Linked DNA regions of Drosophila melanogaster. The protein of the gene in region 3 interacts with the protein of the main gene of each other region in a pairwise test. Each region holds a gene or a part of one and is shown on either strand. Other genes may lie near its edges.

What was found.
Region 1: the proteins of rib (region 3) and CG34376 interact in a two-hybrid assay, tested with the Drosophila melanogaster proteins (one large-scale study listed by BioGRID).
Region 2: the proteins of rib (region 3) and Dyb interact in a two-hybrid assay, tested with the Drosophila melanogaster proteins (one large-scale study listed by BioGRID).
Region 4: the proteins of rib (region 3) and lolal interact in a two-hybrid assay, tested with the Drosophila melanogaster proteins (one large-scale study listed by BioGRID).

The regions. Positions count from the first base shown.
Region 1 is NT_033777.3:22,444,851-22,452,545, forward strand, and holds the start of CG34376 (uncharacterized protein), read left to right. Parts: upstream 1-3,248; 5' UTR 3,249-3,565; coding exon 3,566-3,770; intron 3,771-7,695. Other genes in the region: CG12499 (uncharacterized protein), read right to left, coding at 1-1,236, 1,289-1,682; CG34288 (uncharacterized protein), read right to left, coding at 2,122-2,285, 2,351-2,366.
Region 2 is NT_033778.4:12,433,668-12,441,209, forward strand, and holds the start of Dyb (dystrobrevin), read left to right. Parts: upstream 1-3,677; 5' UTR 3,678-3,722; coding exon of another isoform or gene 3,723-3,742; 5' UTR 3,743-4,223; intron 4,224-6,965; exon of another isoform or gene 6,966-7,068; coding exon of another isoform or gene 7,069-7,461; exon of another isoform or gene 7,462-7,470; intron 7,471-7,520; coding exon of another isoform or gene 7,521-7,522; exon of another isoform or gene 7,523-7,542. Other genes in the region: DUBAI (deubiquitinating apoptotic inhibitor), read right to left, coding at 1-149, 408-739, 805-1,614; Tmem18 (transmembrane protein 18), read left to right, coding at 2,530-2,589, 2,654-2,771, 2,847-2,995, 3,052-3,180; CG30334 (uncharacterized protein), read right to left, coding at 7,069-7,461.
Region 3 is NT_033778.4:19,266,576-19,274,424, forward strand, and holds the start of rib (ribbon), read left to right. Parts: upstream 1-3,502; 5' UTR 3,503-4,211; intron 4,212-7,849.
Region 4 is NT_033778.4:18,152,559-18,161,705, reverse strand, and holds lolal (lola like), read left to right. Parts: upstream 1-3,687; 5' UTR 3,688-3,764; exon of another isoform or gene 3,765-3,946; intron 3,947-4,813; exon of another isoform or gene 4,814-4,959; intron 4,960-5,326; exon of another isoform or gene 5,327-5,540; 5' UTR 5,541-5,712; coding exon 5,713-5,814; intron 5,815-6,214; coding exon 6,215-6,301; intron 6,302-6,363; coding exon 6,364-6,558; 3' UTR 6,559-7,611; downstream 7,612-9,147. Other genes in the region: Naus (nausicaa), read right to left, coding at 1-677; CG10914 (uncharacterized protein), read right to left, coding at 1,536-3,410; adp (adipose), read right to left, coding at 7,860-8,998, 9,065-9,147. UniProt on the Drosophila melanogaster protein: Required, together with Trl, for maintaining the repressed state of target genes including homeotic genes Scr and Ubx. May also be involved in the activation of homeotic genes. Binds to a DNA Polycomb response element (PRE) at the bithorax complex.

The DNA.
Region 1 (7,695 bases), on a different chromosome or scaffold from region 3:
CCAATCTCAAATTGAAGTCTGGATCGCTCAGGTACTTCTTACCCGTAATGTGAAGCAAAGCTTCGATGGGCAAACACAGCTCCTTGATCCAAAATGAGAAATCCGTTAGGGTCATCTTATCGAATGCTGCTGATAGAGCACTGGGCGGGACTGCATTAATGATTTGGGCGAGAAACGCCACAGCTATGGGCAAATCTTTCGGCTTGGTTTTGACCGGACTGAGCAGAGAGGAACAATTCCTCACTGTATTGCGTCCCAAGTCTGGACAAGCAGTTAGTGTTTGAATAACCAAATCCACTTTGCGCGGATTATCGTAGGGCTTGAATAGAGAGCCAAGTAATCTGCCCTGCAGTTTGTTTTGCTTTTGGCGGTAGTGCGTCATCGCATCAAAGCAGATGCCGTGCTTGCGGGAAGTCAAAAGGACTAGCAGGAGTTCGTGAACGGCAGCCGATACCGCTTCCGCCTCCTGTGGGTTTGGAGGTATCTTAGAAACATGTTTCGATTTAGCAAACATCACCTTGAGTCCCATGGGTCCCTCCCAATCGTAGAGGCGACGCAGATTTTTGCAGCACTCTAAATCGAAAACCAGAACCTTTTTGGTCTTCTGTATTTCGGGGTTCTCCAGCACATATTGCCGTAGTGCGTTAAGCACCACGCAGACGGTTACGTGGTCATCGTAAACCAATCCCTTGGCCAGCACACCAATTAGTTGCCCTCGATCCAGGATGTTCCGGATAAGTAGAGTATTGCCCTCGACCAGGAAGGCCAAAATAAAGAGAATAAACGCTTTGCGCACTGTATCCTCGCATTGGTATTCACTTTTTTCATGGGACAGCAATTTCTGCGTCACAGTCACGTTGGAAAGCACATCATACGAATTCAGAACTTGGCGGGCCAATTGAGGCTCCACGCACACAATAGCGGTGAGCAGTTTTAGGGCATTACGCCGATGGCCTAGCTGCATTGATTTCATTTGATTTTCGAGCACTCCTCCGTGAACCTTGAGAAAATATCTACACCCGTGGACAGCCGACTCCATGTGGCTCTTCTGGTTGGTAAGTATTTCCATCAAAACTCGGTGCAAAGCCTCTGTGAGGTAGTCCACGTGAAATAAATTAGTCTTATCGATCCTTTCGAATGCTTCTGCTAACTCCAAGGGCTTTCCACGCTTTTCTATGTACTTAGCCGCAAGCTTAGGACGCGTGGTTGAGCACATGTGCAGGAAGTGTCGCAGTTCTGGAATTGGGATTCGTGAGTTAGCGATCTTTTATTGAACGTATTAACCCACCTGTTATGAAGTTATTGCCGCGAAGCTTGGTTCGAAAGTGCATCATCTTAAAGTCGTTGGGAAAGTGTATGCGGGATTCTTCGGGATCAATCCCGGAATCGCGACTTATTTCATCCTCAGCCATCTCCACTTCCACCTGTTGTTCTACACTTGTGTCGGATGTCTTTGTCTTTTTAGACTTCTTCTTTGATGGAGTGGAGTCAGCAGGATCGGTTTCAGTGCTTTCCAGCGTGGATTCATCGAATGATTCCTTAGTTTTATCCTTCTTTTTCTTTTTCTTCGGTGTGTCGGACTCCTTGGCCAGTTTTTTGGGCACCTCCACTTCACCTTCATCCTCTTGCTCAGCAGTTGTCTCCTCGTGCCTTCTCTTTCTTCGATTGGGTTGAATGGCCATTTTGCTTTAATAATAATATTATAAATTATATTTGCCTATTTACAGCATAAATCGTTTAAAATTTAAGTTAAACACAAAAACAGCCGCACACACGTGCTGGCAGAGAATGGTATGACCCTTTTTAAAATACCGAAAAATACCGCCCTTGTTTCAGTGTTGTATAGGGCGACACTTGGCGCGCTAAAATATAAACTGGCGAAACAGGAAAAAAAACAGAACAGCAACTTATTCAAAGAGATTAAAGTTATGATTTAATTTACCAACAATTTTATACTCTCCAACAATAAACAACGTATTTTACTACAATACTAACTACAAAGGGTGCACAACTTTGAAAAAACCACATCTCGGCACGGAATGACTCATAATCCAATCTGCCATTTGGCAAATTTACAGTTTTCCCTGGACGTGAACGTTTTTTCTGTTCCTTTAACCACGTCTAGTCATCCTCGAGGGCCGCATTGGTGGCTCCTCCAGATCCATATCCAGATCCTGCAGGAGCCGTGCTAGTCACCGATCCAGAAATCGGGAATTCTGGCAGAGTGGAGCGTTGTTTGGCTGGAGCCGGCGGAACCGCGGGCAAATCGACTGATTTACTTTTGCCTGCAAGTACACAACTATTATTAGTCGCTGTTATTGCCTTCTGAAGATAGCTGCAAATCACTTACCAAAACAACAACCCATTATGGTATACTCTTTACTGATTCTCGGGACGAGTGGGCTAATTTGCTGAAAGTTCTTTGAGCACTAAATCGGGCAAATCAAATCGGTGGCCAATTGACTGGGTGCGTATGTGTGCACCTGAGGCGTACAAACGACTCATGGCTAATTGATAAGCCCTGCTGTTACTTTTATTCTCTTTTTGTTTAAAATGTAAAGTGGGTTATTTATGACACCATGGGTAGGTCTGCTATCAACAGTGTAGTTCCCCATCGGCCGTATTAGCATCGTGCAAAGAACCGTAGAACTGTGATAAAAGCGGACAATGCCGGTCGGATATAACCGCAACGAAGCGACCAACAAACCAATTGCGATAAGCTCTTATCAGGGGAAAACGTTTTCAATGCTCTCTAATTGGCGCTAAATATTCAATTGTCGTTATGATATCGTTTATCGAAAAGGCTATCGATTGAAAATTCCGCTCTTGTGGGCCAGATTTCAAAAACGCTTAGAAGCATTTGACAATTCAAGCAATTTACGTAGTAATTGCGAACATTTTTAACAAATTAGTAGTTAACATACATTTTACAAAAATATATATTTGCAGGATTTATAATCTCTTTAGAATTATTATTTCTGTATAAAATCCCAGAATTTCATTCCTCTCTAACGTTTTTCTTTGTGATAACAGTTTTGATTGTTAATCAAATTTTTATAGCTGGAATTAAAGTTCAGCAAACATTTTCGTTTGTTTACCAGTGGCCAGTGAGACCGTTCGCTGTGGCGCCTAAAAAACCAACATTTCACTGTTCCTCAAAGTGCGGGGGGGTGGTGCGTTCATTATCAGCCGGAACGTAAACAGCGTCGCTGCTTTTCACGCTTTCCGATAAAAATGTTTAAATCACACTGTGTTAATTAGAGCCCAAATCAAAATCAATGCGCCCGTGGACGCGAACGACTCGAGATCGTGTGCGCGTGAATGCGGATCGAGTAGTTGGTAGCTAGTTTATCAAATTCGAACCCTTGATATAATAAAAATAAAGGTGCGCGAGAATACGTGAATTGCGATTTTTGGCCCGTGAACGAATCACGAGCAAAGCGGATAAACAAAAGCCATAAAAAACAGATTCGCACGAGAATCATCGCAAAAGTCTGTGCGCATAAATTACGCTCCCCAATTGGAATTGGAAAAGTCTGGTTTTCGGCGAGCATCCGCATCCGCGATGGACGACGAGTTTAAGCTGTGCTGGAAGAACTTCCAGGACAACATAGCCAGCGGCTTCCAGAATTTGTACGACCGCGGCGACCTGGTGGACGTGACCCTCGCCTGCGATGGAAAGCTCCTCCATGCCCACAAGATAGTGCTGGCTATCTGCAGCCCCTACTTCCAGGAGATATTCACTACCAATCCCTGCAAGCATCCCATCAGTGAGTACACCGATTAGGCAGCACAAGATTGCGGCCCCATCGCCGGCGTCCCCGGTTTAAATGCTAAGTTATGCAGCGTGGCTTACATTGTCAGCGCGGCATTTATATGTGTATTTTGATACTGGGCACGGAAGTGGTCTTCCAGAAATTGGTCAAGTTTAATGTTCCGAGCTTTCGTTGCCATGCATATGGATGATCCTAATGGAACATTGAGTGCGTAACTGAAGGATTCGGGTTTCTTACAAATTGCTTGGCTCTTGGCATTGCAAATACATTGTAGACATATTTTCTTGGAATTTTAATAAGCCGGAAAAGAGTCTGACTATTCGCTGGGCTATTTCATACCCTTCACATACATACATAGTCTGTATAATGCCAGGGAAGAGTGACTGCTGGTTACTTGGTCAAGCATATTCCCCCAGAAATCGGTCAGTTTATCACTGGGACAGCGGTGTCAGTTTATCGAGGAGCCCGCCCGTCAGCCTGTCTGTTCATCACTCTTGTCAAACGCTTAGATATAAATCAACCTTTGTGTTAAATTCCATGACACATTCGGTGGTTATCAGCCCAGCTCCACCGCCAGTTCGATTCCGAGTTCCAGACGAGCGTCCCAGCACGACTACGTCTGTCTTTACAGTATCGCTACCATAAATCCAACTATACCCGCCCTATTAACTTTACACTTTATTTCATAAGCCTAACTTGCCTTTTTTTTAGCATACAAAGTAATCAATCGAATAATATTGTTAGTCGTTTGATGGATCGCCCATTAAAATTAAGTAGTGCAGCGATATTAGGAAGATTATAAATCGTTTATGCAAATGCATTAAGGTTTATCCAGCCTACAGTTATCTAAAGACTTTGTAATGAACTGTAATCATTTGATAACCGATTTGATTTACTAATCCAATTCAGGGTAATATAATCCAATTCGTAATATCTGTCCGTTTCTGATTCATGTTCCAGTTAGTGAAGTTTGACTGTAGAGTCGTAAATCTAAAGACAAACAGCAGCAACCCACTAAGAATCGAGGTCTGGTGATAATCCTCCGGTGAGCCGGAGTGCCGCCGCGTTGTCTATGCCTGTGTGGTAGCTGCCGGAGTCCTCCGCCTCCGGAGGCACACCGGGATTGTTTACCCACGCCACGCACGGAGTATCCACCGGCGGAGGGAGTATCGTGATAAGGTCCATGGCAAGAGAGCGCAGAGTCGGAGCCGCAGCCCACTTCGATCGGATCGGGGAGATTGGGTGCGTTGCTGACCTCATCAAATGTACTTCAAATGGACTCTAGAACGGTGGTGTACTACTATTTATGTACGCTATATGGTGTATGGATATGATATCGCCGCGGCCCCTCCTGGTCGGTACGATTCCGATTTCGTTCGCAGTCGTGTTGAACACGGCTGCCTGCTGCACGGTGGCTTTATCTGATCAGGCGGCCATAAAAAATAAGGTTTTATCTTTTCAAGTAGCTGCAGGAAGGTGCTACCTACCCACAAACGCTGCTACAAGAGGTATTTCCAAAGATAAAGAATATTAATATACCCTATAAATAACGGCGAACCCAAGCGGGGGCAAGCTATTAAATGTAGACCAGCCCAGCCAACAACAGTCATCGAGGTGCTAACAAGCCAAATGGCTATGTGTTTGTTCCGTGTGTAACACGCAGAAACAACAACAATAGTCGAAATATTTTTTATCTTTTTATCGCGTTTAACAATCATTTATTGCCCAACTGAGTAACTGAGTGCCCGCCCGCCCACTCCTTCACCCTTACAGCCACTCGAAGAATTTAGTTTAGTCGAGATATTGATTAGAGAGCCTCGCAACATATATACGTGTTTCCGCTGCTCCGGACGTGTAAATCAATCCACACTGTGCCGTTCCAAGTGGTTATATCTGGCCAACAGTCACAGTCCCCAATACAATGCTAATCCTCCAAAATTATCTATTTATTATTGGCATAAACAAGACGGACATAGCTCAAAGAAGCTGGGGTCGGAAAAATCGAATTTTTGAAATTTGAAAGCTGGAATCGTTTGCCCATTTTTTGCCCATGTTTGCCCACCAATTAGTTTTTTTTGCCCACGTCCAGTTTTTGAGATATGAATTTTCGAAAAAGTTCGAAAATTTTCGAAAATCAAAAATTTCGCTTTTTTCAAAATTTTTTTTTTTTAAATCGCAATAACATCGTTTGCCCACGTTTGCCCACCCTTTAGAATTTTGAAAAAATGTATACTTTAGAAAATATAAGGCTTTTAAGTTTACCTCGGTCTAATCAGAGAGTAAATCGTTTGCCCATCTCTTAAAACCAAATATTATCAACAAAAAACGTTTGCCCAACAATTATTATTAGTTTTTATCGTTTGCCCACCCTTTAAAAAACCTTTAACAAAAATTTTTTTTCGATTGCCCACATTTAAAATACAACCAATTTCCTTAGCCAACCTCTTTAAAATAAAAATTTCCAATAAAAAAAGTTTGCCCACCATTTAAAACTAAATAATTTCGATTGCCCACCTTTTAAAACTAAATAATTTCGTTTGCCCATCCTTTAAAATTCATTTTTAACGTTTGCCCACCCTTTAAAAATAAATTATTTCGTTTGCCCACCCTTTAAAATTTGTTTTTTTCGTTTGCCCACCTCTTAAAAATGGTTTTTTCGATTTTTCACCTATTAAAAATAAATTTGTACATATGTATGTAATAATTGTAAGATGTGGCGTCAAAAGCACAGTTACTTACAAAAGAACAGTTATTTACATATTTACATACATTTTCAATATATCCATAGTGTTAATCATTCATGAATTGTAACATCAATTTTTCTTAATCATTGTTTCATTTCATGGAAAATATTTTATATTGCAATATAATATATATGCAAAAAAATGTATGTATGTTTATCAACACTCTCCAAGCTCAAGAAAATTCTGGAATAAAATATTTTCGAAATTATTTAGTTTTAAGAGTGGGCAAACGAAAAAAACAAATTTTAAAGGGTGGGCAAACGAAATAATTTATTTTTAAAGGGTGGGCAAACGTTAAAAATGAATTTTAAAGGATGGGCAAACGAAATTATTTAGTTTTAAAAGGTGGGCAATCGAAATTATTTAGTTTTAAGAGTGGGCAAACGAAAAAAACAAATTTTAAAGGGTGGGCAAACGAAATAATTTATTTTTAAAGGGTGGGCAAACGTTAAAAATGAATTTTAAAGGATGGGCAAACGAAATTATTTAGTTTTAAAAGGTGGGCAATCGAAATTATTTAGTTTTAAGAGTGGGCAAACGAAAAAAACAAATTTTAAAGGGTGGGCAAACGAAATAATTTATTTTTAAAGGGTGGGCAAACGTTAAAAATGAATTTTAAAGGATGGGCAAACGAAATTATTTAGTTTTAAAAGGTGGGCAATCGAAATTATTTAGTTTTAAGAGTGGGCAAACGAAAAAAACAAATTTTAAAGGGTGGGCAAACGAAATAATTTATTTTTAAAGGGTGGGCAAACGTTAAAAATGAATTTTAAAGGATGGGCAAACGAAATTATTTAGTTTTAAAAGGTGGGCAATCGAAATTATTTAGTTTTAAGAGTGGGCAAACGAAAAAAACAAATTTTAAAGGGTGGGCAAACGAAATAATTTATTTTTAAAGGGTGGGCAAACGTTAAAAATGAATTTTAAAGGATGGGCAAACGAAATTATTTAGTTTTAAAAGGTGGGCAATCGAAATTATTTAGTTTTAAGAGTGGGCAAACGAAAAAAACAAATTTTAAAGGGTGGGCAAACGAAATAATTTATTTTTAAAGGGTGGGCAAACGTTAAAAATGAATTTTAAAGGATGGGCAAACGAAATTATTTAGTTTTAAAAGGTGGGCAATCGAAATTATTTAGTTTTAAGAGTGGGCAAACGAAAAAAACAAATTTTAAAG
Region 2 (7,542 bases), 6.8 Mb from region 3:
CGGGCGTGAAGCTAGGCGGCCGGGTGGCGTTCAGCACTCGCGAAGGCGTTAGTTCGTAGCGCAGCGAGTGATGCATCAGGGCAATCTGCTGCTGCACTTTCATGAGCAGCACTGAATTGCACTCGATAAGCAGGATTTGCCTGCTAAAACTGCAAATGGAAAATGAGTATATGTAGTTGTAAGAAGATAAATAAAGCCAATAAGCTTCGTAATCGTAATTATTTTCGTAATCGGAAATTGACACCTAAAACAGATTTATAAACAGTGAGCTCTTAAACAAAAGGTGCTGGCAAGGCAATGCAAATATAGAACCGAGTTTTAATCATAAATATGAGGCAAAGATATTATTTTGCGCTTCTACTTTGGGGAAATTAGAAGTGGGGTTTCTTCATTTGATCTTTACTTACTCGCTGGTCATGGCTAGCGCCTGAAGTACGCTATTCATGTAGCAGGTATTCCCCAGGTTAACGAGTCCAACCCTCGCATTCCGCCGACCCCACGGCTGGGCATTCTCATGCATTGCCTTTGCCAGAGCCACGCAATTCGGAGAGGGCTCATAGGTCTGCAGGGCTTTCTTGGTTGCGACATAGAGCTCATCCTGATCATAGAAACGTAGCATTAGGGCGCTGGTTAGGTCGACCAGTTGCTGCAGACATTTCTTGGTTTCCAGGCCAATCTCGTCCATGGTGGTCGACTGATTCTTCACATACTGCAGGACTCGTGGGATCCTTGGCAAGATCTAATAGGGTAACCAACCAAATGTCAATAATTATGTTGAAGCTAATGTTTGAGTGAAGTGTTTACCTTGTGAAAAACCTCGGGGGTCTGATTAATCGTTGACAGCATGTGAAACACAACCGGTGCGGCCTTTTGCCTCAGCGCCGGAAAGATCATCACGTGGAACAGCTTCTCGATGTTGTCCATTGCAATCTCGTCGAGCAGCGCCATTTTGCCCTGATCCCTTAGCCCCTTGAGCAGCGCCAGCACCCAAAGATTGAGAGTGCTGCAAAAGGTGCAGTACGTGATCCAATCACAGAGCAGGTTCACCGTCTTCTTAATGCTCGAGTCCTGCACATTCTGTTCCAGCAGCGAGTGTACAGCCTCCAGGATCTGCGTGGAGTCGAACAGCTGGAACACAATGGCCACGGCACACGAGGGTGGTGGCTCGAATGGCGACTTGGTGATCAGCTCGTAGACGACACGCAGGTAGAACATTTGGTGGAACTTCTCGTTGCGCGTAGCCAGAAAGGCACCGACCTGGCAGACGTCTTCCTTTAGGCGTGGACAGGATGCGCCTCGTGGAATTTGCAGACGGGCCAAGTCCACGATAACCCTCTCGCAGATGGCCATCACATTGTGGCCTTGCTCCGGCATATCGATGCTTTGGAGGTATGCCAGCAGGGCCTTAATATCCCGCTTGCCCGATCGGTTGGAGTTCAGGCTCTCGCCAGCGGGCGAACCCGTGTCCATGCCCTTTGGCAATACGTTCTCTTCGGCATTCGCCATTCCGTTCGCGGACATGGGTTTGGCGTTGGGCGGAATGCCGTTGCCAGCTCCTCCGGCATTATCCGAGGCATTATCACCCGCCTCGCTGTTATTCTGCTTAACGGCCATTTCGCGTTTCAATCGCTTGGCGTGGGCGTGGACGTGAGTGGCACAAAGGCTTGCGGACCACAGGGCCGACTGGAACTTCCAGTTGCCGATGGGCGGAGGCGTGGGCTTGCCTAGCGCCCGAACACAGCGGCTTTTTCGTTGCCTGCGACTCTGAGCGAGGAGTCTGAGCCGCGTGTCCTTGAACCGCGCTCCGTTACGTGTCGTCGTTACGATTTGACTGCGACCTTTCAACGGGTCTCGAGTGCGCCTCGATCCCTGCCCGATCCTGGCCAGAAACTCCCGCCACAAGCGCTTTAGAACAGAGTCCTAGACGAGTGTGGTGCACGGTAGGGTCGGTGGCCCGTGCCACATCTAAGGCGCCCCTTTTTTCGGATTACCCTGCTCGGCTTTAGCTTCGATTGCTTGCTCACACGTCGCCCGTTCGACTTAATAACCCGAATAGATTTGATTCGCCCTAAAAACTACAATTTTGACTGTTTTAAAACGAATTCTTTGTGATATTTTTCGGATTTGTTAATGTTGTCTACTGAGTCAGTGAAAGCGTTATCGACACGTTCAGACTGAATGACGGGCAGGGCGACTCTGCACGACAAGTCGGGGTGGGTGAGAATGAGGTGGCACAAAATTTGTAATTGCATTTATATGGTGAGTAATACATACTAAACGAAATAATAGTATTTTGATTTATGTTGTTATATTTAGCCCATAAAATAGTAAGTTAGGTCTTACAAACAGCGCTACCAGATCCAGTCAAAATTGAGGAAGCCTGAACGTCTATAGGCCTCCCAAAATGGCGTTGCCATGAAAAATGACAGCTGTTCGCTGCGAATGGCTATTTATGTTTGTTTTGACTCGGCTTTCGAATATATCGCAAAATATATACAGGAAACATTTATATTCACAAAAATCTGTACGATGCACCCAGGGCAAATTGAGGTCAACGAGATCAATGGCTATTGGACATTTCTGCTGAGCGTAAGATACTCGCCTATATACAATCAAAAATCAAGAATCCGGCAAGTTGTCACTATTTTTGCAGATCGATTGGAAGGATCCCTGGCTTATTGGCCTTATTTTGGCGCATATCTTAACCACCACCACTGCGCTGCTCAGCCGGAACAGCTCCAACTTCCAGGTTTTCCTCTTCCTAGTACTGTGTACGTGGACTTGGCGGCTTCCTTGACTTACCCGATAAATGACTCTGATTTTTGCATGTGCTTCATCTTCCTCAGTGCTGGCAGTCTACTTCACCGAAAGCATCAATGAGTTCGCTGCTAACAACTGGAGTTCCTTTTCCAGACAACAATACTTCGATAGCAACGGCCTGTTTATCTCGACAGTTTTCTCAATACCTATTTTGCTTAATTGCATGCTTTTGATTGTAAGTTATAGTGTTTCCACTGCATGAAGTGTGTATTTATCTTTGCTTATTTGCAGGGCACTTGGCTCTACAACTCCACGCAGCTGATGGTGACTCTAAAAACAGCGCAGCTCAAGGAGCGAGCTCGCAAGGAACGCCAGACTAAGGCGGATTCGGAATCCATAGCACATAAAAAGGCAGAGTAGAACTTACGCCTGTATTACATGCAGTTAAAAGCACAAGTAGAGCTGTGAAATTATATGTTATGCTTTAAATGGATTTTCCTGTCATCTAGATGTAGTTTGCTGCACAGCTCTCGTCTTTAAAATAAATTTAATTTAGTATAATCAAACTTATAGAATTTGTAAATTTAGGCTATTTTTACATCCTGTTTTACTTAGCGAAGTTACAAACCTAACATGCCCTTCATATTAAGCAAAAAATCACACCAGTTACCGTTGCCACCTTGGTAAAGCAGTTTTTACTGCCACCTAAAATTTTCTATATATATCACGTAATATGAACTATTTTGATATTTTTGACGAAATTAACATTATAGATCCAATCAGCTTATTGCCTGTATCAATTTCTGATCTGTGTGCCAAGACTGTAATTTCAAATTAGAAGCTCGTTGGACCTGTGTCATTTTTTAGTACGAATTCAATTGGGAGCCCTTCGTCGTCTGGTAACACTGTCCAACGATTTTGTTGTTGCTGGCTTGTGGGTGTCGAAGCAGTGTCGCGGCGCAATGTTGGAAGTGGTTTTTGGGTAAACAAAATCCGTTGATAAGATATTCGCACGGAGCTAATCGCAAATCGCGCTGCGTATTTACCGTTGGCAAGCCAGAAAAAAGTTTTGCATAGCATTGCGGTTTAAAGCCAGGCTCAAAATTCCTGCGAGCTCGCTTGTGTGTGTGCGTTTTTGCCGTCGGTGTGTATGTGTTTTGAGCCCATAAGCGTAGCCCGAAAAAAAGAAGTTTTTCTGTTACCATATTTTTTACCAAAGGCCAAAAGGGCGCAGCATCTTCGCTCTCTATCTCGGCGCTGCATCTTGCTCTCTCGTTCGCTAACGCGAGTTTGGCAACTCCGTTTACCGTTCATCGTTTATTGTGTGTAAACAGCAGGTGAAAATAAAACGCGATAAGTGCAGAGAAACAGGAGAAGGAGGAGAAAGAGCAGCAAGAAGAAGCAGCAACTCCGCGCAGCCCAACAAAAAGTGACGTATTAAAAAAGGTTGCTAATTACAAAAGGTAAACAACAAATAATGTGCGGATTATATTACCAAATTCCCGGGCATAAACAATACCAATAAAATGTTGCTAAGATTGCCCTTCCACCCCCCTCACTTACCCACTGAAATGCGTAGTAGATTTCCGCGATAGGAAAACTCGGATGAGTGACGCGTTGGCGACGCAGCGCACAGTGTTCATTCATAAAAAGTGTCTGCCCCCCTGCGCCCACTCCCAAAACACTCCCCCCTCCCCTCCACACTTTGAACCAAGCCTGTTTGTGGTTGCGCCTGGAATTTAGTTTACAACTAAATATGTTTGCGGGCAGCTAGGAGGAAAGTTCGGATTTGGTTGTTTTTGCTATGTGGGAAACCATAGTTAAACTATTTGCATTCCGTTGGAAAGTCTAGTGGTTCACGCCACGCCCCATGTTCGCTCGTTCACGAAATTATGAAATTGTGTAAATTATATTAAAAAGCTTAACGGGTATATTGATATCTCCTCTATAATACTTCATACAAGATAAGTTTAAGGAACTGAAATGTTTGAAGTTTTAATGAATTTCCTTAACTATTGCGTCTGGTTGACATCCAAGTTCGCATAGTTGAAAAATTCCATATCAAACTGAGCCGCATGCCTTAATAACTAGACCTTTTGCTCATTGAGATTAGATCACATACCGCCATATGGCAGTCGGTGAAATGATTAGCTCAGCGAATAATTAAGCGTCGTGCGAATGAAAAGTCACACACACACACACTGCAACTTGGTGTTTAGATTAGAGCATTTTGTATCTTAGCCCACCTTTGGCAATCGGTGATATCGAATAGCAGGAAAAACAATAATACGGAATTTATGGTCAGCGTGTCGCCAAAATGCCAAAGTCAAGCGAAATAAATACATAGAAATAATGAAAGAAAAAAAACAATCAAAATAACTCGGTGACATCATTTTGACTAATCGCCAATTTTAGCATTTGAAAAACGGCGGCTGCTCGCCCGGCCCACCAACAAGCGCGCGAAGGTGCGAAGGAGAGAGTCCACCAGGGAGGGGGCTGCGAGCGAGTGCGGGAGTGGGAGCGAGAATGAGAGGGGGAACACTCGTGGCAGGTGCGCCAAGCCGAAGTTCAAAACGAAGCTCAAACCCGAATGCCAAGCGGCATTCCGAACCACCTACAAGTCGGCAAGTAAAATGGATCGAATGCTCTTGCGATATCAGCGAGTTTCACTTTCGAGCCCCTCATCTATACACGAATACTATCTGCAATCGGAACAATCACTAGATAATCCCACGATCCAACATTAAGCGCATTGCTTTTATCACAGGTATTAAATCAAAGCCATGCATTTGGAAAAGTGCGCTTGCCATTTGCCAAATTTAAGTGGCTTTAATTGGCTGGTTTTTACGACTCATTGGCATTATGACGATCTTTAAATTTTACGATTAAATGCATAAATCAGGTGTTGAAGTGTAGTGCAAGTGGTTGCTACATATACCCCTACATAAATAGAATCACTCCAGAAAAATATGGCATTCAAGTTGAGTTAACTACTGGCTTGTATTGTAAGCTAAGAAATTGTTAAGTGGTAGCTATTCTCAAAAGCTTGCGCACAGGGGTGCCTTTCTTTAACTCATTATTATATCCATTTATATCCATTACGATCAAATATTCGTTATATATGGAAAATTGCCTAGCCTACCGTGACTCTATTGCCTGCCTGTTGATATTTCCCCCGCGGCAACTTCGATCCGATGCAATTAACTCGAACATATTGTGGCTCATTACGAGGGGCATTCCAATCTGAAGACGAAGCGACTCGATCTAGTTCACAGATACAGAGCTGCATACACGCATCCCACTGGTTATTTCGGTTAATTTTGATGTGTGCTGCTAAGAGCCGAGAGTGCAGAGGACTAGGCACCACTGCTCCACATCCCCAGATATTTCCGACACTACGTGCGCTGCGATGCGACGTGTCGACCGGGTGGGTGGAAATTTGGAAATGTTGTGAAAAGCTAAATGAGGCGTGACACGAAAAAGAAGGCAGAGGGGAAAAAAGAGCAAAGCGACAAACACGCAGAGCAGCATGGAAAAAAAAAGAAAAAAACAAACAAACAAACAGAGCTGAGTGCGGCCACCCACAACATGACAGCCGCCACAACAATGGCCATAGTAGCGTCGAGGAGCAGAACGAGAACGTGGTGCCCACCAAATCTAGCCACGGAGTAATTTCGGCCTAGAAAACAAAGAAAACGAAGAAAACTGCCCAGTTGTCTGCGGAAAAGACAAAGGAAGAATGGAAAACCAAGAGAGCGGAATGAAAAAGGGGGACCAATTCCGCACAAGGCGCACAATTAACCCTTTCTTTGAAGTCAGCGGCGAATGTATCCACTGTCCACTTTCCACTGGGCTTTAATTAGTTTATGGAACAAGCGTCCCGGCTCGGCTAACTGCAATAAAATTAATCGTTTATGCTGTAATCGCATTTAGCGGCGCCGACCTCCTTTCCACTCCTCTCCTCCCTACTCCTCTCCACACCGGATTCTGGCCCGGATTTCCACACCCGCAGTGGCCTCGTTTGATGTATGGGATGTACATACATTTATCGCGGGCGACAACTTTGTTCTCCATAACCAAGAGGCAGTCATGTGTGGGCATTCCATTACAGGGGATTTTCGCTAGCGATTGGAGCGTAAAGCATCTGGTTATTTTAAGACCAAGCCCATAATAATAAACCCAAAGGGCTAACCATAATTGTTCTTGCTTTACAATCAATTTTGCTCAAAAAAAAGAAAAAGAAAGAAATAACTCAAGAAACCAATTAACCGCAAACAGTGAAGTCCAGAGTCCACGAGACGTACATGCTCAGCAGCAGGAGTAGCAGGATGCGCGACAGGATTGGCCACAGCAGCCAAATCCACTGGAGCACATCATGCAGCTGTCCGCTCCGTACGGAAATTGATAGCACGGGGAATACGGGCGGGGACCACAGGACCACGATCCGCCACGAGGACCACAAGATGGCGCACAACCACCTCTGCCTCTGCCTCCACATCCACCTCTCCCTCCTCCACCGCCTTGGCCGCCTCCTCCTCCTCCGCCATAGCGGGAGTCACAGAAGGTGGTGCCAAAGGGCCCGTTACCGCCACTCCATCCGCATCTGGTGAAGCCCGAGTACTCGCCATACGGACAATCGCCGCACGCACGCTCCGGATAGGGTCCAATGTAGAACGGATTGAACTGTCTGCAGCTGGACATGTTAGCTGGCTAATATCGGAGGTCCATCAATTGGAAGGCATTCGGTATCAACTACTCACATTCTGGACTTCACTGTGCGCG
Region 3 (7,849 bases):
AATGACCTTCGGTGGTTAAATAAGTTCGTGTTTTAGAAACGACGTTCAGTAGCAGCAATTAAAGTTAAGTTTTGGCCAATAAGAATGCTTGTGGTTTGGAAACCAACAATGATCATTATTATTTTTACTTTTAAATGAACCCAAACATGTAAAATCTTTATCTTTTTGAATACATTTAAATGGCAAAAGAATAATTTCTAAACCCAATTAATTAATGTTAAAGACTTAGGAACTCAAAAAAAACCAAATTGACATGTTTCACAGACTTCGTTATAAATGCAAATAAAGCCACAAAGGGGTTAAACAGTTTGGCAATTGATCGACTCACGTTGTCATTAGACATTGAGCGATAGTATTGCCCTCGAGTGTGCTTGTGGCACTTTGATTGTAATTAATGGGCTGCAATATTTATCCAATGCGAGCGATCAGGGAAGACACTTGGTCTGCAATCTCCATGATCCCAAGATAATAATAATAATGGCCTGTCACTCAGAAAGCAACTGCAGCAGCCGAGATGTTCGCCTCTTCATTTTCAGCCAGCAGCAGACCAACAATCGTCTTTGTTGGTGGCATTGGACAATGGAGGACAATTTCTCGGCCACTTGTCAAAATAATTTGCGCCTGTCTTTGGGCCTCAAGATGCGGATACCTGCCGTGCAATTGTTGACTTAGTTGCACTCCCGAGTACGTGAAATGTGTGAGAAATTCTTGGACAAACTCGAGGAAACCAGCATCTACGGATCCGGAAAATAGAAGCCCGAGAAGGGTTAGACTAATATTGGCCGAACATGCGATTAATGCGATTATATGGCTGTATACCCGTTTTCCATTTGCCCCAAAACTGCTGCGACAAGTGATGGCGCAGTAAATTCCCAAAAAATTATCACCTGTGCACCCAAAGGGAAGCAATAGTTCAATAACCCAACAAAGAGCCACCAGAAGAATGACGAGAAATTGTGGCAGCAGCAGCGCACAAAGAGCTGGGAATATCCCGATCCTATAGACGAAGGACTATGCACCATGGGCGAAGGACAAACCAAAACGAATGCCCAAATCGATTGCTGCTCCTGTTGCAAGAAGAGGCGGGGGCCACTGCCACAGCCGCATCCACATGCAACAGGATGCTCGCACACGCACAAATGCGGGATGAAATCCCCGAATGCCTGAAAATCCCTGGGAAAAGTTAACTTTTTGATTCGATCGAGAGAATAATAAGGGGCGCAGACGTAGAATCACACGATAAAGTCACACGGACGGAGTAAAAAGGAAAATCGGTGAAAAAGGGAACATGTTGCAAGTCAGGATCGCAGTTGCAATCGCAGCTGATCGTGTGTTCAGCAGGTTGCATCAATTGGGGGAAAGGACCTGAGGGCTAATGATAGTGTCGAACAAAGGACTAAATTGGCTCTGCAATTCCATGGGAATCCCTTTCTTTGCCATCTTATATACGTAATTCTTTATGCGCAGAGCTGGTTCATATCTTTACTAGATCGTTAGATCAGACAAGCCTCTATGAAGTGCTAACTTTTCAAAAAGCTTTGCTTCGCAAAATTCTAATGTCAGTAAAGCTGACTAGATACTTTGCATAGAAAAGCTTACATATATACATAAGAGAAGCAAATTCATCGGAATTTGTTTATTGCCAAAATTTTAGTAACAGAAAGAAATCTCTTCTGCTCTATTATTGTGCAAAGCTTAATGAATAAACAATTTATAAAAGCTTTCTCTTGCAGAATGTTATAATACTAATCGCACTAGACTTTCGTAAACTATGTTAAATTTATTCAAGGTTATGGTAACAATGGTTTAGTGATCTTATCACGCACTTAATATTGAATAAAAACAGGAAATTATCAGTAATTCATATACCAGAAAAAGAAACATGTAAGCAGTTATATATTTTAAAAAGTTGGCAATAATGGATCGATTAGCTTTATACGAAATCGTATAACCACTCTTTAAATAAAGGTAAGTTTTAAGAAGTTATCGAAAAACTAAATGCTATATGTAATGTTTCCAGATCTTAAACGTCATTACCAAGACCACAACAAGTCTTATAGCTCCCGATCTTTCCAGAAAGCTCTTCTGCGTGGCTGGTGAATTCTCCCGGTTAGATTCTTTCGCCCAGTAAGCTCCGCGCATTCGTGTTCTATTCCCCAACTAAGAACCACGTGTCTGGCGATTCTTTAAATCACCTCAAAGCGACAAAACACGACGTCAAGACAGCTTTTGACTTTTTGCGCAAAAATGGCGATACGCGATGTGCCAAAAATAAGCAAAAGCCCGCTCACCTATACTTGCGACAAAGCAGCGCACACACACTTGGCGAAAAGCTTTCGTTTTGCTCTTTTTGTTGTGTGCAAAAATGCTCTCTGATTGGTCGGCTTGCGAATTTCGGGGGAATTCGCGAGTCGCAAAAGCGAATCGAAAGCTTGCACAATTTGCCGAGCGGCAACCGAAGACCCTCGGCTCCACTTCGGTCACCATCGGTTCCAAAGAGCGAGGGAGCGAGAGCATCTGACTGTTTACGCGAAATTGTTATTGTTTGCAACTAGTTTTTGCGTTGTTTTTTTACGCTTTTTGTTGTTTTTTGCCGGCATTTTGCTCTTGAATTTTTGTTTTCGCTGCGAAATTCAAGTTCAAGTTTAGGGACGGCGGGAATGTTGTTATTGTTACTCAATTCTGGCGTGCTTTCGCACCAAAGTGTGTGTGTAAACGTATCTATGTGAGTGGGATTTGGGTTTGGGCTGTGGTTCTGTTGACGCAACTTGTTGCTTTCACGTCTGGGGTAAAATATTTAAAGGGCTTCCTTTACCTTTAAATCCATCAGATACTTCCACCACTTATCTATCTGAGAGATAGAAATAGATAGATAGATAGCTCATTTTTAAGATTCTGACTTCATAATATCTTTTTTTTTGCATTTACTAAATGGTTCTACACTTTAAATAGAACAACAATTCTGCGCTCATTGGTTAGCAAGGCTTTTCACTGTAATTGTCATTGAGCGATCCGTCCTTCCGCATTTTCACGTAGCCGCTTTTTGACCCTGGCCCACCGAATTTGTTTTCGTGGTAAACAACAAACTCAACTCGAGAACCAAAACCATACACGCACGCACACACACACACATACCAATATAGATTACAAAAATTTGCGCCGCATTTTGCTGTAAACAAAAATTGTGTAATAATCAAGAGTGACCCTGAAAAGCGCTTCACAGATAAACAAGCGGCCAACTGGCGGGTTATTTTTTTATTTGTCGATTGTTGTTTTCGACTCATGACTGTGTTGATATATTTGCAAAATTCTTACGTGGGCCCAAGGGCCGATGATAATTCTATGCTCGACGAAAGAGCTTTCCCCCCTCCAGAGGCCCAAATTTATATTTATTTTTTTTTCGCTAGTTTGGGAACTTTGCTTTTTTGCTCAATTTGTGAGTCAGTGGCATTATGTACTAGTATATTATGTACAGTCGAAGCTTTTTTTCTACACACACGCCATTTTTGCGGAGCTCTCTCTCTGCAGTCGAGAATCGGCGAAAGAATTAAAAAACAGATTCAGTCGGCTATACAGTCCCCACTCAGAAACAGAGAAACCGAGAAGCCCAGTTCCACTCGCAGTCCCTTTGGTAAACGCCTGAACTCAAGGTCAGTGCTCGTACCGCCGCAGAAGTTTGGCGGTCTGTCCAGAACTTACAGCAGAGCGACACATGTAAATCGCCGCTGCCAACCCTGCCCCGCCCTTCGAGATACACGAACTAACAGATACACAGATACACGGTTATATGTGCCCATCCGAATGCTTGTGAATACTGAAACACTTCCGAGAATCAGTTGTATTGCCCTTTTTTCATACTATTTTTTTCGTTGTTTAGTAACTTTGCGTCATTTTGCCATTCGAAGGCAAAGAGTTCACTTCGATCCAAGCCAAAAAAAAAACCAAAGAAAACTGCAGTGAAATATAGTGAAAATCGAAGCAAACACACAATAATGCCGGTTAAAATGTTGGCTGACTTAGGACCAGTGAAAACGTGGCCAGACTATGTGCGAAAATGTGAATCGAATTATGGTTAGAATCGGCGTTCTGATCAGCCAGCAGATACATTTGTAAAACGTGTTCTACGCACTCAACAAACCCCGAAAAACGTCGCTGGATCTTGCAGATACTATATGTACATGGAGTGAATAAAACAACAGCGGAAAAACAAGGTAAGTACAACACAGACGTATTCTATGGAGGGCGGTTTCGCCCCCACCTTCCCTTGCCATGTGACCATGGCCGTATAAATTCGAACAAAAATTCACAACGCTCGACTTGAAATTTCCCTCAAATTGCTAAAAATAAAATAACGCATTTGTGCGTGCGTTTGTGTGCGAGCGTGTTTTTGGTGAAAACATCGTGGAAAATGCACCCCATGCGCCGCTCGAAAAATGCTAGCCTGTACTTAACGGGGGCGTGGTCGTCGGCTTTCCATTTCCCGAATTTCCACATGTTCATTGAGCGGCAAACTGCAACTGCAACCGCCACACTCGAGTGGCGCTGGCGGCACAAATGGCATGGCTCGCTATTTATAGCCAACGCATTCGTATCTGCGCGCTTCATGGAGAGCATATGTACTTTTGTATCTATATCTATGCATATGCATATCTACGGCCGGATCTGCAACGACTTTGTCATATCTACATATACATATAAATAAATATGTACATATGTACGTGAAGGGACTGTCGCCCGGGAAACGCGATTTGAGTTACATACAAACGATCATTGCAAACATCAGTTTTATATCTGACGCCATACGCCCCATAGAAATAAAGTCTTTAGCACACAGAAAAAATTTAATTTACGCACTGTTTTTATGTGTCAACAACTCAATTTTGACTTTTCTCACAAGCAAAACTAAAGAAAACATATATTCTTAGAGAATTATGGGGTATTTAATATATATAATATATATGTAATTCGTAAATTACACTAAAAGGTTTGTCAATAAACTTTTCTCTCACTGTAAAGATTATATCTTTGTATCTGCGCCAGCGAAAACGATCACAAAATGGCCGACCCATGCAAAGTTGCAGTTGCACTGGTAGCCCCCCATCGCCACTTCCCCCACACACTTTGCACACATGCACAGATGTATCTGTATCTTGTTTGCCTTCTCCCGCTCTTCACCCAGCTCCCCCTGTGCCGCTCTTCCCCTCTTTTCCTGTTTCGCCTTCTTTCTGTTTGCTTTCGCCTAATTTTTCGTGCCTTTTTTACACAATTCTCGTTTAAATGTTGCCTTTTGCTTTGCTATCTGTCGGCCCTGTAAATGTATCTGTATCTGTGTGTTGTATGCTATGCTCTCGTATCTGTGAGTGCGTTGCAAAAGTGCAATGACCCATTCGTAGTCCGCCCCCCACCCTCCCCCCGACCATAACCCCGCCAGCGGACCCACCAACACCACCATCGCTCTACGAAGTCGCGGTCTACGTGCCACTTTCCTTAGTTGCAGCGAATGACGCGCGCGATAAATTTCCAGCGTTTTCGTTTCTCCGCTGCTTCGTATTTGTCTAATTTTCCCTCTCTCCGTTGAATTTTTTCGTGGTCTTCTTGTTGCATTTTTTTTTATTAATTTCCCCGGGCTGCAGTTTTTGTTTGTTTTTCGACTGTTGCTCTACCCACACACAGGAAAGTACACTCGAAAAAATGTAAATTTTGAAATAACTCTTTTTCTGGAAGCTGAAACATAAACTTACGATTAAAAATACAACTTTCCGAAGATATATTTTAAAAACCCTACTTTTCTCTGAGTGTAGTGTGTATCTTCTAGATAGTATTCGTATTTTTGCCCTTCCGCCGCGTGAGTTTTGTGTAAACACTGGGTGGAAAGGGGAGAGATATCTCAAAATTTTCGCCTCCATTAGCACACGAGTGCGAGCGGCGATCTTTATGGCAGGTCCTGCCGATCCTGTCGCTGAACCAAACTCTGCAGGCTGCCCATTGTCCATCGTAGGCGGCGGCTCCTGTTTTTTTCTTTGAGCCACGCTAATTGCCATTTGTGTTGGAGAGAATTTTCACGTGCCGCTGCTACTTCAAAGATGCTCTAAGAGGCGACACTTCAGCAACTGAAAAAGTCTCAAGAATCTAAGCATCTCGTTCGAAAGATGCCCAGGTAAAAGCAAAAGATACGAGGGCTAAAGGTAAAGGGTTGGCCTGGGAAAAGCCGGAAAAACGCAACCTCGATGCGTTTGTGCGTGTGTGTTCTTTTTTTCGCATTCATTTTTTACTTTGCATGACAAATGCTGCTATCAAGTCCAGACATTGATTGAAACCCAAAGCAAGGCTTTTCCTGGAAAATCCGCTTCTTCCTTTTTTCGCATGCAAATATTTTTCACGATAGTCGCTCAATGGTAATGACCAAGAAGCAAAGGGTTAGGCATCGTAAAACGCTGGTCCACATTTCCTTCGAACTATTTTGGCACATTTTTGCGAAAAGCCATAAACCCATAAATCTCAGACGAAACCCTTTCGCTAACGCCATAAAAATCTTCGAGCAGGTCAAAGGTTTCGAATCCACTGGTTTTTATTGCCATATGCTGACCAGCCAAACAAAGAGCTGATAATACTAATCGCGAAAATGCGTAGATGGAAAAACATTTGTCGTGCAGTTTGCAAACACAAATACGAAATGCAAATTCAGATTCAAATTCATATTTATGCTGAGAGTGCAAACTCAGAGGTGATAAGAAGCACTTTAGAACAATGCCATTTTGAGCAGATGACTGCAAATTAGTGCTGCTCGATGAACAAAGAATTACTTGATTGTTAAATCATGTCAGGGCCTTTCTTTTTTGCTAGGATCCACACATGTCCAACGAGCAGGTAGTCAACAGGATACAAGGATACTAGCAGTTCATTAAGAGTCCTTCGCTTCATTGAGCGAATGTCTTGCGGTTGGATTATGTGCGGATTTCTCCCTGCTAATCCCCCATAATAAGCGGTATTGGCTTTGAGCTGGGAAAACGTCTTTATCTCCGGTATTAGCCACATTCTCAGCAGTTAGTCAAAAAGTCAGCAAAGTCAACACTGACCAGAGGATAATCCATTTAAGGAAATTCTCTGTGATCGACACATGTTGAGTTTCGTGGAGTTTCCTCGAACTAACTAAGCATCTTTATAGGTTTTTAATTTATTAATTAAGCTAACAAATAAATAAATCATCAAAATGTAACTTAAGGTCATTAAAATCAAAAACAACTCTTTTACGTAATAATTTAAGAACCTGCAAAACTAAACGATTTCAAAGTGTAGGTTTATTATATTGTTGATTTTTGCCATTTAGTATAGCTACTATTTTATTTTCTTTATTTTTCACTTATATTTTTCTTATAAAGATGCAATATTTCGTTAGTCCGGCATATTACAGCCTCTTGGAATTCATATTTTACACTTTCACTGGGACATTGACAGGCGCTGGGGGTAATGATGATAAGATTACAAGTGTGGAAAGGGGTCGGGGCTCATATATGGAAGCATTGTAGTTAAAAAGAGTAAAGCCCCGGGGCTCTTGTCCATAAATGCTCGAGTCCAGATTATGGAGTCCGAGTTGCGGCAACTTTTCCGCTTTTTTATGCCCGTACTTACACACACATTTCTTGCACTATCAGCTTTGAGCCGAATTCCGCGGGGGCGGGGGGAGGTGAATGCACTTGCGAACTAGTTTTTCGGACTCTCGGGTGAAGATAGTGTTGGCCGATCTCGCGGAGCTGCCAAAAAAAAAAAAACAAAAAAAAAAACAAAGAATGCATTCGAAAACACGGGTGGACGGAAAATGGCCCCGTGAAATGCGGTTGACCTTAATTTC
Region 4 (9,147 bases), 1.1 Mb from region 3:
CGCTCCAATTCCAGGCCGTAGGTGATGTCGTCACCCTGAGCCGTGGTGTTCTCGTGCTTGCGCTTCTCCTCCTCCAGCTCCTGGAGCATACGCTGATTGTTTTCCAGCGATTCGGTCAATATGTTGACCATACGCACATGCGTGGCCCTCTGCTTGCTAACCATCTGATACTGCTGCTCCATTTGCTGCTCAATGATCTGGCGCACCTCCATCTCCGCTTGCGCCGCCTGCGTAGACGATTCCCTTGATATCAGATTGCCATTGAGTGCGATCTTGTCCCGGAATATGGCCGCATACGGATCGTTCGGCTGCAGTCGCTTGGTGCGCAGCTGTGCAATGAGCTGCTTTACCCGCTCGTTCCTCAGGGCGGCTATGCAGACATCCCGTGCCTGCAGCTCGCCCTCCAGGTAGTACAGCATCTTCACCAGCTCGCTGTGCGGCATCTCGGAGCGCGTGCGTCCGTTGGTTGCGGTAGCACTGCTGGCGCTATTTGCCACCGGCATCACCTTGTGCACCACACCGGGACCCGGTTTCATGGTCTGGAACTCGTGGTTGGCGCTCACGGTGTCGCCGACCGACATTCCGGATCCGGAACAGTTCTCAGTGCCGTAATCCGCGTCCGTCGCTGGTGCCTCCGCAAACGTATCCGCAACGCTGCTGTTCGAGTTCTGCTCCATTGCCGCCGACTCTTTCGTGTGGCTCCCGTCCCGATATCCAATGCCCAATTCCCGATTCCGGATTCCGAACTCCCGATCTCCACCTCCGCTCAGCTCACGGCATACAAAAAAAAAAGTTTGGTGCGTCGCAGTTCGCAAATTACACGGTATGCAAGCTCTCTGCAATATTTAACTTCTGGCCCGGACTCTGTTTAAGCCCGCTTTCAAGGCAAGTGGCTTTGCGCAAGCAGCAATCGCCACAGGAAATTATCTTACAATTTCTTTGTCAATTTGTTGCCCGTGAAAAAGTGGATACTTGCGGCAGTGCTGCCGATTCAGCTTTATTCCCGTCAGATCTGGCTTAGTCGCAGGATAGTGCTGCGCATGGCGGGAAGATAAGAACATAAACGTCTGTTTTTTAATTAGTCAGCATTTTCTTAAATATCCAAACGCACTTTATTTGAGTTATATTTTTACACTCTTTACTATACTGTTAAGTTAAGCTTATTGTATCTAAAGGTGCTATGTTCATGATATCCAAAATCCATGTAGCCATAAACAGCTTTTATCTTTTATTAAAAAACGGCAGCACCGATTATGTACGCTGCGCTGCCAACTCGCTTTAAAAAAGAGTAGCGAGTAGCCAGTGTTGCAAAGCACGTTAAGCAAGGGTCTGCTTTTTGGCGCCGTTACGGGTTTTGAAACTATATTTAAATTTATAAGTTCATAAATATAATATATAATAGCACAAACTTTATTATAAAAATCGGGGTATGCTGAAAATAACTAAAGCGGTGCAAATTGCTTTAGTTTGGTAGAATATATTATTAAGTAATTTAAACAATTGTATTTATTTACAATTTATAAACAATTTGTTTTTTATTTTTTGTAAACAAAGGGCTTGGCGGTGTTGTAGGCCAGGGAATACCTTATGTGCTTGCCAACCAATCGATCGGCTAAAGGTATTAAAGCCGGTTCACGTCTGTAAATCCCTGCCGCCTTTGGTGTCCAGGCCCGTAGACGACACTCCGAGTGGCCCGGCAGCAGGATTCCCATCCAGCCCGCAGAGCTGAGCGTAATATCACAGTTAAGCCTCGTTTCCTCGTTCCTTCCTTCACTTGCCAGCACAATATCCCCATCCTTGCATTGCAATCCCGGCCAGCGTCGCAGGCGGGCCTCCAAGTTCTCGCTAGCGAAGGGAACACCCAGAAAGGGCGAACCCACGTATCTTTTGTACACGCTTTCCGCCTCCTGTGTATCTGCTATCATGATGGGAAGATGCTCTGAGGCAAATACAAACACCTTCAGCCAGTCAAAGTGTTTCCTTGGGCTTGTTATTTCCAGCAGATCCAATCTGGCCAAACCGCCCAGTAGTATGCTCATCTGGGGCCGCAGCCGAAAGGCGCGCGGTCGGATCATGGTGGCGGGCTGCAGCTTTACCAGCTCCTCGGCGGTGAGCAGGGGAGATATTTGGTCGGGTTGCATCACACCCGGTGTGTCGTAGACCCAACGCGCTTCCTTGTACTCCTTGCCCCGATCGTTTAGCGTTGTAATCGGTCGCGAGCCACCGGCCATGGCAAAGGCATCATGGAGATTTTCGCGTCGATCGAAGGTGCGTCCAACCGGAGCCACTGGTTGAGCAGCTGCCGCTGAACCCGTTTCCCTTGCCACTGCGCGACGCTCCTTTTCCATTTCCGCCTTCTCGCTGCGCTCCGAAACCAATCTCTTAAAGCGCTGATAGACTCGATCGTTCGATGGACGCAAGATTGGAAACCGCAGCAGTTTGAGTGTGGTGCCCGGCCACGGACAGGTGGTGGCCTTGCGCACCAGGTCACTGGCCTCCGGCCGGCAGTAGTCCGAGTTAAGCAGAATGTTGAACAGCGAGCTCTTGCCCACATTGGTGCAGCCCACCAGATAGACATCGCCTTTGTAGGCCCACGTTTTGTGCAGCTGCGTTATTAGCTCCTCGATGCCATAGCCCGTTTTGGCGGATATCAAACTGACATTCTTGATATTTAGACCATTTCCACCGCCATGCTTGATGAACTCGCGCTGCAGAGAATCCTTAATATGCTGAAGATAGATGTTGGAGTCGCGCGGCAGCAGATCGACCTTGTTGCCCACCAGGAAGACGGGTCGCTTTGCGCCCAATATGTTTTGCATGCCCGGCCAAATGGAGCAGGGAAAATCGAGAAGGTCCACCAGAACAATAGCCAGTGCAAATTTGTCTTGAATGCGGGATATGGTGTCCACATAGGTCGATGGGGCCACCACCACATCCAATGCGATGTTGTAGTGGTTCAGAAAGTGACAACGCTTGCAGGTGATCGTTTGCAGTTCCTGCTGCGTCCTATCCCTGAATATTTCACTTGGTATATAGCCTGGCAGGGAGGCATTCGTGCAATGAAGGTCTGCGCCGCAGCCGTTGCATGGAACCTTTGAGGCGGGTAACGAAGGATCCGGTGTGCCCTGCTTATTCCCTCCCTCCTGGGCGCCCTGATAGAACTCGTAGTCGTCCATCCAGTCGTCGGGCAAATGCTGTTGTGTCTCAGGAATCGAGAAAGAGGGTTTTATTTTGGTCTCCAGAACAGAGCTGTAATGAACGTGCTCATGATCCTTGTACCGCTCTCTGGCGAGCAGCCACGCCCTCTGCCGAAAGCTCTGTCCCACTTCAGCGGCGGTATTCTGCCGCCTCGAACATGTGATAACCACATTTTTATTTATAATTTTATATAAACGTGTGGTTTTAAACATTTTGCAATGCCCACAAGAATTCTCACAGTGTCAGACTAAAGCCGTTTGCTACGAAACCATTTACATAGTCAGGGCTGCTAGCCGATAGATCTGAACGATTGTTATATTATTTGGCGTACAAAATAACAAGCATCAATTCAAGCAATGCTTTTTGTGTTATAAATCGAATAAAAGATATTTCAGTACATTAATTTGTGTTCATTAACTGGAAAAAAACAAAACGCATCGAAATTAGGCCGATTCATATCGAACAATCACGAGTGTATCGAAAATCGAAATCGGTGAAAGAGAAAAAAGAAAGCAGCGTTAGCGAGAAAGCAGAGGTGAGTTAAGTGCGGGACAAAAAAAAAGCGTGTATGTATTAAAATTGAAACAAAAAGATATAGAAAAAGCGTGTCCACGGCGCAATTAGCGTGCTCCTGCGGCGGTCGGCAGGCGATATACGCATTGGTAAAAGTACAGAGTACACGCCGAGTAAAAAGCAGCAGCGCACAACAAATAAAATGATTAGGAAAGTGTGTGGAAAAAAGACAAGTGTATGTGAACGGCGATTGTATGTGTGCGTGACGTGACTGTATGCGTGCTGCTGCTGCGTGTATATGAAATAAAAAGTAACGCGAAGCGCGACCTAATTTTAACCAAATATTACAATAATATTTGCATAAACAAAGGCGGCTCGGTTAATGTGACGCCAGGCATTTTGGTGGTTCCTGCGGCTTTCCACGAACGTTTGCCGACGCCATTGTCTGACCAAAAACAAAAGAAAAGAATTGAAATAGAATAAATCTCAGACGAGCACACTATTCCGTCGAGTGTAGAGTTCTTCCCGATTGAGTAATGCAATAACAACAAACGGAGCTGCTCAAATTGTTGAGAGTGTTGCAACTTTCGTTGGAACTCGTTTTGAACCGTTGTTGTTGTTGTTGTTGTTGATTTTGTCGCTCGCATCGCTCACTCACTTACTCACCGACTCACTCGCTCCTTTCCATTCTCCTGATGTTACCAAAACTGGTCTTCAAGAAGCAACAATGCAGTTTCTTGACGGGGAAGGGGAAAAATCAATAGTTCGGAAATTAGACAACTTTCAACATCCATGATTCAACGAAATGCACTCAGCCTAGAAGAAGCTACCGATAACCCCGGGCGCAAGAGCAAGCGAGATAGTTGCCGCCGCCTACCCACACTCGCACACAGCCACACACTTACACTTATGCAGCTGAATTTCCAGCGATGTCTGCTCTGCCTTTTAAGTTGTTGTTGTTGTAATGTAATTGCGAAATCATAACGGCAGTTGAAAGTTGAGAGCGCTTAGCGAAAGAGAACGAGGGACACAGAGAGCGTGAGACTAAAGTTTAAGCTCTGGCGGCAAACTATATGCCCTGCTCTCCCCCGCCCACGCAGAAACATACAGCCGGCTGCCAGTGTAGCGCATATGAGAGTCGCATCAACAACAACGCTATTTCCTCAAGAAGAAAAACACATGTTGGCCGCACAGTGGGATGGAGTGGGAGTGAAATTAAGACAAAGTCACTGAATGGAAGTGCGAATGGTGCCGCCATCTTGGTTCTTTTTTGGTCAAAAATCACGGAATGAATGCTATTTAACTGGAGTGCGCCTAAAAATACATTGCCATCGGCAGCTGCAGCGTGCATCGCGTGCAACAGACTAATTCCGCGTTCTAAGCCACTGTGCCGCATACGAATTCAAATAAGCAATAAGTACACATGTGTGTACGACTGAAAATGCAGAAATTGCCTTGAAAAGTGAAAGGCATTCAACAGAGCGAGCCAGCGACGATTTGATATTTTTGCCTCTTTGCTTAACCTTTGCTGGCAGCTGTTTGCTGTTTTTATTTAGCGCTGTCTCAGCACTTTGACATTTTCCAGCTCACTCACACATGTACAGAGTAACAACGCTGTGCATTCCGAACTCCCATTTCCCACTGCACAAACGCTGCACATGCGCCGCAGCACATTTATATTTGCAGAATACTTTTGGCCAAGAGACGTGCTGTTTTGCAATGCTCTCGTAACGTTCACTGCTAATTTCGCCAAGCTGTTGTTTGTTTGTCTTACTCTGCCTTGCCGTTACCGTTCGTTCACTAATGCTGTCTGTTTACTTCTCTTGCAGAGTGCGTCAAAGAAAACCCAAGCGAAAACCCACGGATTAAGCGGTCCGCTGCGAATTAAGACCATCTAACGGTGAACCTTTCGGTCACTAGTCCAAATTAAGCCTCCTGCCCACCCCCCTCCCAGCATTCTGTTCAGCGAGCGCGACGCCCCCACAAAACAAAAGCTTCTTCATGATGTCGTCGGATCAACAGTTCTTTCTAAAATGGAACGATTTTCAAACGAATATGGTGACCTCGTTCCGTCACCTGCGCGACGAGAAGAGCTTCACAGATGTGAGTAACCAAATGAAACTTTCCAGAAGCGGCGATGGAAAAACTATTGCAGTCGAACTATTAGTTAGAATGATGATATTAGATGTCAATATATTTTGAAGTTACTTATAAATTCAGTCAAAATCAAGCCATAGAAGTTCGACTGTAGTTAACCAGTCCCAGGGGCGCGCTGAGGTTTATTATGCTACTCTTGGCCCGATTGGCTCGCGGCCGCCCCTTGTGGAGGGTCAGTCACCGGCTGAGCTCAGTTGGTCTGAGTAGCAGATACCTGGCCCTCACGCTATTTTCAATTCGTTTTTCTTTTACCTGTGTTCGTTCTTCGCTCTGCGTTTTTGTTCAATTTGTTGCGGTGAAAATGCCTGGCGGATCTTACTGATTTCCCAATGCTTATTGTTCACAGGTAACACTCGCCTGCGAGGGCCAAACCTGCAAAGCCCACAAAATGGTGCTTTCCGCTTGCAGTCCCTACTTTAAAGCGCTACTGGAGGTGAGTTTTTCACGCGGTAATAACTAAGCAATCGTTTGATAATGTAATGTATGCACCCGCAGGAGAACCCATCGAAGCATCCGATCATTATCCTGAAAGATGTCTCCTACATTCACCTACAGGCTATACTGGAGTTCATGTACGCCGGTGAGGTGAACGTGTCCCAGGAACAATTGCCAGCATTTCTTAAGACCGCCGATCGCCTCAAAGTGAAAGGCCTCGCAGAGACACCCAGTTCGATAAAGCGGGAAGGTTGATGGTATTAAACAATAATCGAAACAAAAAATACATAATAAATAACAACAACCAACTATAAGAAACTTATATGTACGCAAGAAAACAAAATTCCAACCAGCGGCAAAAGAAACAACATTACGAGAACGACATTTGGTATACAAATTCATATAAGAGTGCACGAGGAGGATGAAGAACGCCAACAAATGACCACACAAAGCTAAAGCTGGACAGATTGAAATGATTAGCCTGTAAAGTAGAGGTGGAGGCCAAATCCGCCCGCCCACTCCCACACCCGCTCATTCACATCTGATCAACCAAATTGCAAAAAAAAAAAAAACAACACTTACCGACAACCCCACAGAACTCGATTTGAATTCTTTTTGTTTAATTTCTGCATAAAATAGTTTGTAATATATTATTAACAATACAAACCACTCTGTATAAATAAAACGATATGGACAGCAGCCCCTAAAGCAAAACAAAACATAACGAAACGAAACAAAACAAAAAACGCACTTTTGTAAAGTAATTAAAGAAGATCCATTTAAAATATATAAAGATAATTATAAATATAGTGTGAAATGTGCAAGTAGATGGAAAAAGCCACGACGGGCGCGAATATTACAACACATTCGGTTAGTTTTTAAGCCACTAACTACAACCCCAGACATGCCACGCCTCCAGACAGACAAACTCATTTTCATCTATATTTAAACAATAAAATAGAAACAAATGCAAAATTGTACTTCAATTAATTGTGTGTGGACAAGCGCGTTTTTCCCCAACTTCTGATCATACGCGAGATACATACATATATTGTATTAATAACAAAACGAAGAAAAGGTGTTTCAGTGCGAAGCTAGCAGTTCTACACAGTTTAAACAAAAGAGTAAGGAAATACGTTAGAATGAAAAATACAACTTGAGTAAAAACTATACTTGAATATTATTACATAAAGTAAAATATTTATATGTATGTATATGTATACATGTGAGCATAGATTTAAAGAAACTACGGTAAATAAACAGAATAATTAAAACAAAAAAAAAAAAAAAACAAATGCAAATCATCCTGAGCTTTTCATTAAATTACGATTCGAAAACCGGTCGATTTGCATGTCTGCATTTATTTTAATAGTCTTTCATAACATCCTTCATAAGCTTCGTACTTTGTATACAGAGTAATTCGTTTACAAATTAACAAAAATATGTTCGCTTAGCTTAAATTACACTAATATTTGATATATTGCCGATTGGATCTCGCTTGCTGTTGCACATGCATGCAGCCAATATAGATCAAGATGCACAATAAGCCACAGTTCCTAATTATTGAAACAGTACGCATTGCGCGTGTGCAGTTCGAATGGATCGAGGCGCATCTTCTCCTGGTTATCCTCAACGAAACGCGTCACATCCGCCACGAGATTGGGTCGCTCCTCGGCGCTGGCGGCGCACGGCGACCAGATCTTAATGTTATGGTCAATGCCACTGGTGGCCAGCATGCAGATGCTCGGATGCGGCTGCACGCAATTCACGATGGCACTGTCCGCCCGATAAACGGCGCGTATCTTGCCCGTGTCTCCCTCCCAAATGTACATGTTGCCGTCATCCGAACCAGCGGCTATGAACTCGCCCTGGCTGCCCAAATAGTTGGCCTCCTTTATGTCCGTCGTGACGTTGCAGTGGCCCACATAGCGTTGCATATAGTCGCGTGCCGTGGAACGGAGATCATATTCGGCGTTCTTCAGACGCAGGTAGCGGAAGCCATCATCCACTTCCACCGGCTGTAGCTCGGGTGCCTCGGGGCTCTTTGACTGTCGTCGATTCTCCTTGATGTCCTTGTTCAGCATGAGCACGCCGTGATTGTTGGCGAAGTCGGGGAAACGCTGAATTAGTGCCTGCAAGCACTGATCCGCATCCTGGGGTCGATGCAGCTCAAGCAATGCCCTGGCCAGCCGAAAGTGGGCCTTCACATAACTGGGATCCAGACGCAGGGCCTCGTGGCAGTCCCTAAGTGCCGCATATATATCACCAAACCAGCCGCGTCGCATTAGAGCCGTCGCTCTGTTCAGATAGAGGACCTCTCCTTGTGGATATTTCGCCAAAGCCGCTGAGTAAGCATCAATTGCATCTACAAGTTTGCCGTTCTCAAGAAAGTCATTGCCCTCCTTCTTATACACCTCTATTTCGGTTGGCAGCGAGCGACTTCTGTGTGGCATCTTCACCGGCTCCTCCTCGTGAACGAGTGTTGATGTGAAGGCGGGCAGATCGTAGAAAACCGGAGGCTCAGCGTGATTCAGATCAAAGCGGTAGACGTGCTCGCAGCCTATGTTGACCAAAAGCTCTGTGCCATTGCCATTGAACGTAAGATAAGTGATTCCCCGTGGCTCGTGGACAATGTTCCGGCTGATGTTTTTCACGATCTGTCCGGGTGCATAGTACGCCACGCAGGCAGAGAGACCTTAAAGGGATAAGAGTTCAATATGCATATGTATGAGCTGCAGCGCCTACAAATTCAAGTACTCACCATTGCCGTTGGTGGAGGGCAGCTTGCGGCGATCGTACACCCGGGCAAAGGGATCGTTGGTGCCCACGGCCAGGTATTCCGTC